Callithrix jacchus: one gene and its partner. The protein of the gene in region 1 binds, or shares a complex with, the protein of each later gene. Links are inferred from orthologs where the notes say so. Each region holds a gene or a part of one and is shown in the gene's direction. Other genes may lie near its edges.

Evidence for each region.
Region 2: UBL4A (region 1) and GET4 share a complex: the UniProt entries of both Homo sapiens proteins name them as parts of the BAG6/BAT3 complex. The link is inferred for Callithrix jacchus from reciprocal best matches to the Homo sapiens genes UBL4A and GET4.

What each region holds. Positions count from the first base shown.
Region 1 is NC_133524.1:150,280,137-150,284,351, reverse strand, and holds UBL4A (ubiquitin-like protein 4A), read left to right. Parts: upstream 1-1,415; 5' UTR 1,416-1,438; coding exon 1,439-1,486; intron 1,487-1,683; coding exon 1,684-1,789; intron 1,790-2,016; coding exon 2,017-2,225; intron 2,226-2,318; coding exon 2,319-2,429; 3' UTR 2,430-4,198; downstream 4,199-4,215. Other genes in the region: SLC10A3 (P3 protein), read left to right, coding at 1-493. UniProt on the Homo sapiens protein: As part of a cytosolic protein quality control complex, the BAG6/BAT3 complex, maintains misfolded and hydrophobic patches-containing proteins in a soluble state and participates in their proper delivery to the endoplasmic reticulum or alternatively can promote their sorting to the proteasome where they undergo degradation.
Region 2 is NC_133503.1:58,122,329-58,125,828, reverse strand, and holds part of GET4 (Golgi to ER traffic protein 4 homolog), read left to right. Parts: intron 1-268; coding exon 269-407; intron 408-1,461; coding exon 1,462-1,602; intron 1,603-2,960; coding exon 2,961-3,036; intron 3,037-3,145; coding exon 3,146-3,218; intron 3,219-3,500. UniProt on the Homo sapiens protein: As part of a cytosolic protein quality control complex, the BAG6/BAT3 complex, maintains misfolded and hydrophobic patches-containing proteins in a soluble state and participates in their proper delivery to the endoplasmic reticulum or alternatively can promote their sorting to the proteasome where they undergo degradation.

The sequences.
Region 1 (4,215 bases):
AACACTCCACGTGCCCATATCCAAGATCCTGGGGACCCTGCTGTTCATTGCCATCCCCATAGCAGTGGGTGTGCTCATCAAATCCAAGCTCCCCAAGTTCTCCCAACTGCTGCTGCAGGTCATCAAGCCCTTCAGTTTTGTGCTCCTCCTGGGCGGCCTCTTCCTGGCCTATCGCATGGGGGTCTTCATCCTGGCAGGCGTCAGGCTACCCATCGTGCTGGTGGGTATCACGGTGCCCCTGGTTGGCCTGTTGGTGGGCTACTGCTTGGCCACGTGTCTGAGGCTGCCAGTGGCCCAGCGGCGGACAGTCAGCATTGAGGTAGGGGTGCAGAACAGCCTGCTGGCCTTGGCCATGCTACAGCTATCCCTCCGCCGCCTTCAGGCTGACTATGCCTCCCAGGCCCCCTTCATTGTGGCACTGAGTGGCACCTCTGAGATGCTGGCCTTGGTCATCGGCCACTTCATCTACAGCAGCCTGTTCCCAGTTCCCTGAGGCCTCTGGGTCAAGCTTTCGTCAGTCCCAGCCTCCACACTCCACCTACTGTCCCCAGAGTTCTTGTGTACCAAAGGCCTTTAGTTCTCATGCACTATGCACTCAGAAAAATCCAGGCTTATTTTTTTTACTGATTTTTTTATTCTCCAGCTTTCAGTGCCAAGGAGGCCATGCTGAGTTAGGTAGGTGGGCACTGCCCCAAAAATATATTTCAATAAAAGACAGAAGCAAGCTTGGGTCCCTTCCAATCTTTGCCCTTTGGTGCCTGGGCTTGGGGGTAGAGTGTGCTGGGTAGGTGTGGACCAGGGTGGAGGACCAGCTTGGATGACACGGTGACCCATGCACAGGCTTTCTCTATCAGCCCTCCCCAGGAATGTCCCCATTCTGGGAGAGGTGGGAGGATGAGAGCAGAGGCCTGGCTCCCCTGCCCGCTCTCAAACTCGGTGGGGTGTTTTGCAGCCAGACCAGAAAGGAGGAGGCAGAAACCCAGCGGGCAGGGGGTGGGGGCGGGCCGTCTGTGGGTTTGCAGGGCCCGGCTCCGCCAGCTGTCAGGATATGTGGGGTGGTTCAGGCCATCCGCGGGGGCGAGCGTAACTCTTGGCCCTTCCTTCTCCATGCCCCAGCTCCTACATGACGCCAACCTGACCCGACGGGTTCTAGCTCCCAAATTCCCCGCACTGTGGCTTTGGGAAGGGTCCGCCGGCTAGGGCAGTCGCTGCGCGTTTGCGAGGCGGAACCCCAGGGGGACTCCTCCTCCCGGGGCGCAATTGGGGTGGGGGGCGTGAACGGGACAGGAGGGCGGGGCCGGGAAGCGCGGGCGGCGGGCGCGCCCCTCTTGCTGCTTCCGGCGGCAGCGGGTGGATCCGGCGCGCGACCGGGGCGGCGGCGCGCGGCGGGGGGTGGTTGGGGTGCGCGCCCGCCCGAGTGGACGCCGCCGCGGCCGCCATGCAGCTGACGGTGAAGGCGCTGCAGGGCCGCGACTGCAGCCTGCAGGTAGGGTCCCGGGGCCGGGCTGCCGGGCCCGTCAGTCGCCCGCCCCTAACAGGAGGACCGCCAGGGCCGAGGGCGGGCACGGGGCGGCCGGGCCGGGGGCTGGTAGCCGAGAGAGCCGCCCTCGGTAGCGGACGCGTGGGCTTCGTCGACCGAGGGCCGCGGGCTCAATCCCTGCCTCCCACCCTCGGCGCGGCCAGGTGCCGGAGGACGAGCTGGTGTCCACGCTGAAGCAGCTGGTCTCAGAGAAGCTGAACGTCCCCGTGCGCCAGCAGCGGCTGCTCTTCAAGGGCAAGGCCCTGGCAGGTACCCAGGGAGAGGAGACGCCCAGGGAGCCCCGCAGGAAGCGGGGCCAGGGTGCTCTGGCCGCCTCGGCAGCCGTGTGACGGGTCGGGGTGCCGGCGCCCAGCGCCACTTGACTCCAGGGTAGACGACCGCATGCTGCAAAGCTGAATCCCGCAGCCCGAAGCGGCCTCGTGTCCTGGGCCACCCCCACGGCGGCAGGGAGAAACTCATCGATCTGTCTTTGGCAGATGGGAAACGACTCTCGGATTATAGCATCGGGCCCAACTCCAAGCTCAACCTAGTGGTCAAACCCCTGGAGAAGGTGCTACTAGAAGAAGGCACTGGCCGGAGACTGGCCGACTCCCCACCCCCGCAGGTCTGGCAGCTGATCTCCAAAGTCTTGGCCCGTCACTTCAGCGCGGCAGATGCCAGCAGGGTCCTGGAACAGCTACAGAGGGTGAGAAGGGCAACCCTGGACATCCTTTCTAGGCCCAGCTGCTCCCAGCCCCCCACTGCCATCCCCTGAATCTTCCTGCCTTTCTCTCCCCAGGATTACGAGAGGTCCCTGAGCCGCCTGACACTGGACGACATCGAACGATTGGCTGGCCGTTTCCTGCATCCAGAAGTGACTGAGACGATGGAGAAGGGCTTCTCCAAATAGCATTCTCAGAGCATAGGGAGGTGCCCAACGCCAGGCCACGGCTGAACATCACACAACGTGTGTTCAGTTGCAGTTGGGCTCATAATAATAGCTGGCAGGTACCTGGCTCTGGCCAGGTGCTAGGCACCACTCACAGCTTGACCTGGGTTTGCTTCCACACCCTTGGAAGAGGAGAGCCAGCACAGCGGGGGCGACGCAGGGGAGGAGCCCCAGTTGGAGTCCAGCAGCTTCTGAAAGTGCCTTGATGTGACAAGGAGGAAGGGGCTGCTTGGAGAGCTGAGCTCACTTGTCATATTTAGCCCACTGAGAATATACACTCAAGCAACTCCTTCCCAAGCCTGAAAGGGGAAGCAGTTGTCACCTGACTTCTGGCGGGTCCAGCATTAACCCTCAGCTCACTGCTGCAGGAGGCCAAGTTGCAGCCAGCCCTGGATCCCCCAGCTGCTACAGCTAGTGAGCGTTCTACAAATGGAAAAGCAGGTTGGGGCCAGGGAGTGAGAAAGTCACCCCAGCTCTGTGATATGACTTTGGGCAAGTCTCAGTGCCACTTTGGTCCCCCGCCACAGACTCTATAGGGTGAGGGCCACTTCCTGATCTGAGTCAGTGTTCTCCGCCCTTACCCCAGCCCAGGGTGGGGAGTGTTAACAGTGCTCTTCTCCCTTCTGTTCAATAAACGAACTGAAGTCAAAAGCAAAGCATGGCCAAGTGTGACCCAGAGATGGGTGTCCTGGCCTTTGGTGACACAGCTCTTCTCTGGGGCACCCTGTCTGCTTGTCTCCTCCTCCAGGAAGCATTAGGGCTGATGGGTGACTCAGAAAGGCAGTGTCAGAGCTGGGACTGGTGTAGGCATTTATCCTCATCCCCAGCATTTGCCACCATGTGGAAGACGAATACATCCCAGCCATCTGTGTGCGGGGGCTTACTTCGTATGCTCCTTATTGCCTGAGAGGAAACCTTGGGGTGCCAAGGCAGGGGCAGAAGCATGGGCTGGGTTCCAGTTCCTCCTCCACCCTGCCCTGCGCATGGGCACTAGAGGACATTGAAGTGCCTGCTCCTTGGAGGAGGCCCCCAGGGGTGGTAGAGGCTGGAAGGAAGCCACAGGCAGGAAGACACCACTCCAGCCCCTCCACCCTTGCCAAGGGAGCAGCTCAGTGTGGTCAGGGCTGCACGTGCTGGAGACCCTCCTGCCTGGGCCTTGTGGGCCAAATATTGGGTCCCCAGGCTGGAAATATGGGCAGAGGCCGAATGAGTGAAGGCTCTGAAGAGCACACAAAAGCCCCTGGCCACCCACGAGAGCTGGAAAGCCATGTATGTGGCTTCAAAGCCATATGTGGAGGGACATGCTTGTGAGCATGTGTGGCCTGCAGCTCAGGTGATACATTTACCAGGGTTCTTGTTTGGTGCCAGGAAATTAATTTTGGAAAGTGAAATAACATTAAAGGTGAACGTGAAACTTCTACTTTTATCCAAAGGAGCTATATTAGCTAGGCTGCTTCTGGTATCCAATAATTGGTTTAAAAATAAAGGCAATTTGTTGAATCAGTACAGGAAATTTCTTGACTTAATGAAAGGAAAAGTCCAGTGGTGTTGGCATTGGCAGCAGGTGAGCAATTTCACCCAGTGTCTTCCTGCCTCCCTCTGCGTTCGTATCTGCTTCATCCCAGGCCATCACCTCCAAGGATGAAAAGATGGCTGCCTGCAGCTTGCATGGAATCCCTGCCTCACTGCCAGATGCCCCAGCAAATAAACACTCTTCTCATTGGTCACAACTGGACTGTGTGTCCAA
Region 2 (3,500 bases), on another chromosome or scaffold:
AGCTCTGGGAGCTTGGAGAAAGAAGGTGCTGTGTGGCTGCGTGGCTGCTTGGCTGCGTGGCTTTCGCTCTTCGCTGTTTTTGTTATTTGGTGGTGTGTGGGGTGTGGACTGGCTGAGTCCCTGTGGTGGCACCTCTGCCTACGGGGCTCTCCATGGGCTCTTCTCATGGGCAGGTGGGATAGAATTAACATGGATGCATCTTTCCCCATCTCCTGTGCTATATTATATTCATGAAGCATATTTGAGTTTTTCTGTCTTTTCTTTGCAGAACAAAACTATTGTGAGTCACGGTATCATTTTCTGCACTCAGCGGACGGGGAGGGCTGTGCCAACATGCTGGTGGAGTACTCCACATCCCGGGGCTTCCGCAGCGAGGTGGACATGTTTGTGGCCCAGGCCGTGCTACAGTAGGTGTCGGATGGCTCTACGGGTTCTGGCTTCCCTTGCTGCCTTGTCCCCGGCCCGAGCCGTGGTGCAGCGTAAACTGAGTTCACTCCGGGCAGAACCTGCAGTGCACGTGTCAGCCAGAGTGACTCATGAATTTTAATAAGTTTTATGAAGTTTAAGAAGTATTTTGGAATCTCCCCCTTTTCTGCGGTGCACCTCTCACCTGCTGCCGGGAGGCCCTGTAACCTCTGCTCTATTCCGGCCGGCCTCAGCCTGTGAACTGTGGGAATGCACTCCCAGTTCTTAGAATTGTCAGTGAGTCATCTACCCTGCAGCCCTCCCGCCAGCACACTGGGGCATCCTGCAGGCTGAGCTTGGGCACTCGCTTCCTTTCTCATGAAAGCCTTATGTGTGCCCAAGTCCATTTCTTCCACAAAACAAATGTGAATTTCTAGGCGGGCGTTGGGGTAGGACTGGCTTTGTGGATTTGATGTGGGATTTGGGGACAGTCATCCTCTGACCTCAGTGCTGCCCACTGCTGAGCTCTCCCAGGAGGGCGTCCGTGACTTAAATGAAAAGCTGGGTCAAACCCAGAGCTCACTGGCTCTGCACTGCGTAGATGTGTTCTCTGGATTGATGGTAGCCCGCCCCTGGGCCACTGAGCCCTCTCTGTAGGCCCTCCTCAAACTGGAGCCAGGGTCTGCGTAGCACCCGCCAGCTGCTGGGCTGTGGCCAAGTGTTCTGGTGTGGGCCATCATCTGATGGGTGCGGGCAACGGGGGAGAGAAGAGCTCACTCAGTGCATTATTCAGATGGGGCTCAAGCTGGGTTCTGGCTCCGGAGCCTTATGACCTTCTCAAGCTTCATTCTCTTCACCTATAAATTGCTGGCCTCCCCAGGATCCCCTGCTTGTGAGAGCGACACGCATGAAGCACTGGGTCCCTCCATGCTGGGGGCTGTGAGACCCGTGGGTGTGTGAGCTTGGGAAGGACCAGGGCATGTCAGAGGCTGGTGCCTGCGCGGGTGGAAAATGTGTCCTCCAGCCTTTCCTCCACCAGCATGTTCTCATTTCCAGGTTTCTGTGTTTAAAAAACAAAAGTAGTGCATCTGTGGTCTTCACGACGTACACCCAGAAGCACCCGTCCATCGAGGATGGGCCTCCGTTCGTGGAGCCGCTGCTCAACTTCATCTGGTTCCTGCTGCTGGCTGTGGATGGGTGCGTCTCAGTATTCTGGGGGTGTACGTTGTATGTCGATGTGGTGGCGTGGGTAGCTGGGGGGGTGTGTGCACGCAGGTGTTGGGTGTCAATGTGATGAGTGCAGATGTTGATGTGTGGGGGTGGGTGGGTATAGCTGTGGCATGGGTAGTTGTGTGGGGGGTGTGTGTTGTAGACTTGGTGGTGTAGGTAGCTGTGGGTGTGTGTAGGTGTGTTGGTTGTAACATGGTGTAGGTAGCTGTGTGGGTGTGTGTAGGTGTGCTGGTTGTAGACATGGCGTAGGTAGCTGTGTGGGTTGGTGTGAGTGTGCTGGTTGTAGACGTGGTGTAGGTAGCTGTGTGGGTGTGTGTAGGTGTGCTGGTTGTAGACATGGCATAGGTAGCTGAGTGGGTGTAGGTATGCTGGTTGTAGACATGGCGTAGGTAGCAGCGGTTGGGTGTATATGTGCTGGTTGTAGACATGGCATAGGTAGCTGAGTGGGTGTAGGTATGCTGGTTGTAGACATGGCGTAGGTAGATGTGTGTTGGTTGTAGACATGGCATAGGTAGCTGTGTGGGTGTAGGTATGCTGGTTGTAGACATGGCGTAGGTAGCTGTGTGGGTGTGTAGCTGTGTTGGTTGTAGACATGGCATAGGTAGCTGTGTGGGTGTAGGTGCGCTGGTTGTAGACATGGCATAGGTAGCTGAGTGGGTGTAGGTATGCTGGTTGTAGACATGGTGTAGGTAGCTGTGGGTGTGTAGCTGTGTTGGTTGTAGACATGGCATAGGTAGCTGTGGGTGTGTGTAGGTGTGTTGGTTGTAGACGCGTAGGTAGCTGTGGGTGTATAGGTGTGTTGGTTGTAGACGTGGAGTAGGTAGCTGTGGTTGTGTGTAGGTGTGCTGGTTGTAGACATGGCGTAGGTAGCTGTGTGGGTGTGTGTAGGTGTGCTGGTTGTAGACTTGGTGTAGGTAGCTGGGTGTGTGTAGGTGTGTTGGTTATAGACATGGCAGTGTAGGTAGCTGTGGGTATGTGCAGATGAGTGTTTTAGGTATAGACTTGGTGGCATGGGTTGCTGTGTGGGTGTTGGTTGTAGGCGTGGCATGGGTAACTGTGTGGGTGTGTCCAGATGAGTGTTGGGTGTAGGCATGGTAGCATGTGCAGGGGTGTGTGTGCAGGTGCGTGTTGCCATCTTCTATGGGTGTAGGCGCAGTGGTGTTACAGGTGTGTGTGTGGGTGTTGGGTGTAGACGCAGTGGTGGTGTAGGTGTGTATGTGTAGGTAAGTGTTGGGTGTAGATGTGGCAATGTGTGTAGGTGTGTGCGCAGGTGTGTGTGGCCCTCTCCTGCTCCCCCAGCATCTCCCTATGTCCCTGTGTCCCAGCGGAAAGCTGACGGTGTTCACCGTGTTATGTGAGCAGTACCAGCCATCCCTCCGGCGGGACCCGATGTACAACGAGGTGAGGGCTGGGACTGGAATGGGGAGGGGCCCTCAAGGCTGCACTGCCCTAGCTGGGACCCCACAGCCTGGGTCCGCCCTCTCCTGAACCTGCTGCCCATGCCTTGCAGTACCTCGACCGCATAGGACAGCTGTTCTTCGGTGTCCCGCCCAAGCAGACATCTTCCTACGGAGGCCTGCTCGGTAAGCTGAGGTGCCCTCGCCACTCCCACTGCAACCCTGGGTCAGTGTGGGGTCCTCTGCAGTCCTTCACGTAGCAGTGGTTCTTTGCTCTTTTCAATGTTTCTCAGTTTCCTTTTGTTAGTAGGAAATTATATTTCAGAGTTGAATCCTAGCTCAGTGCCTCCCAGCCCCGTCTCTGCTCCAGAGCTCCCCGCCCCTGAGGTTTCTCACACTTCCTGGTAGGGGTCGATTTGTGGGGCTGGCTGTGTGCTCAGAGAAACATCTGACTTGTCCGGTTTCCAG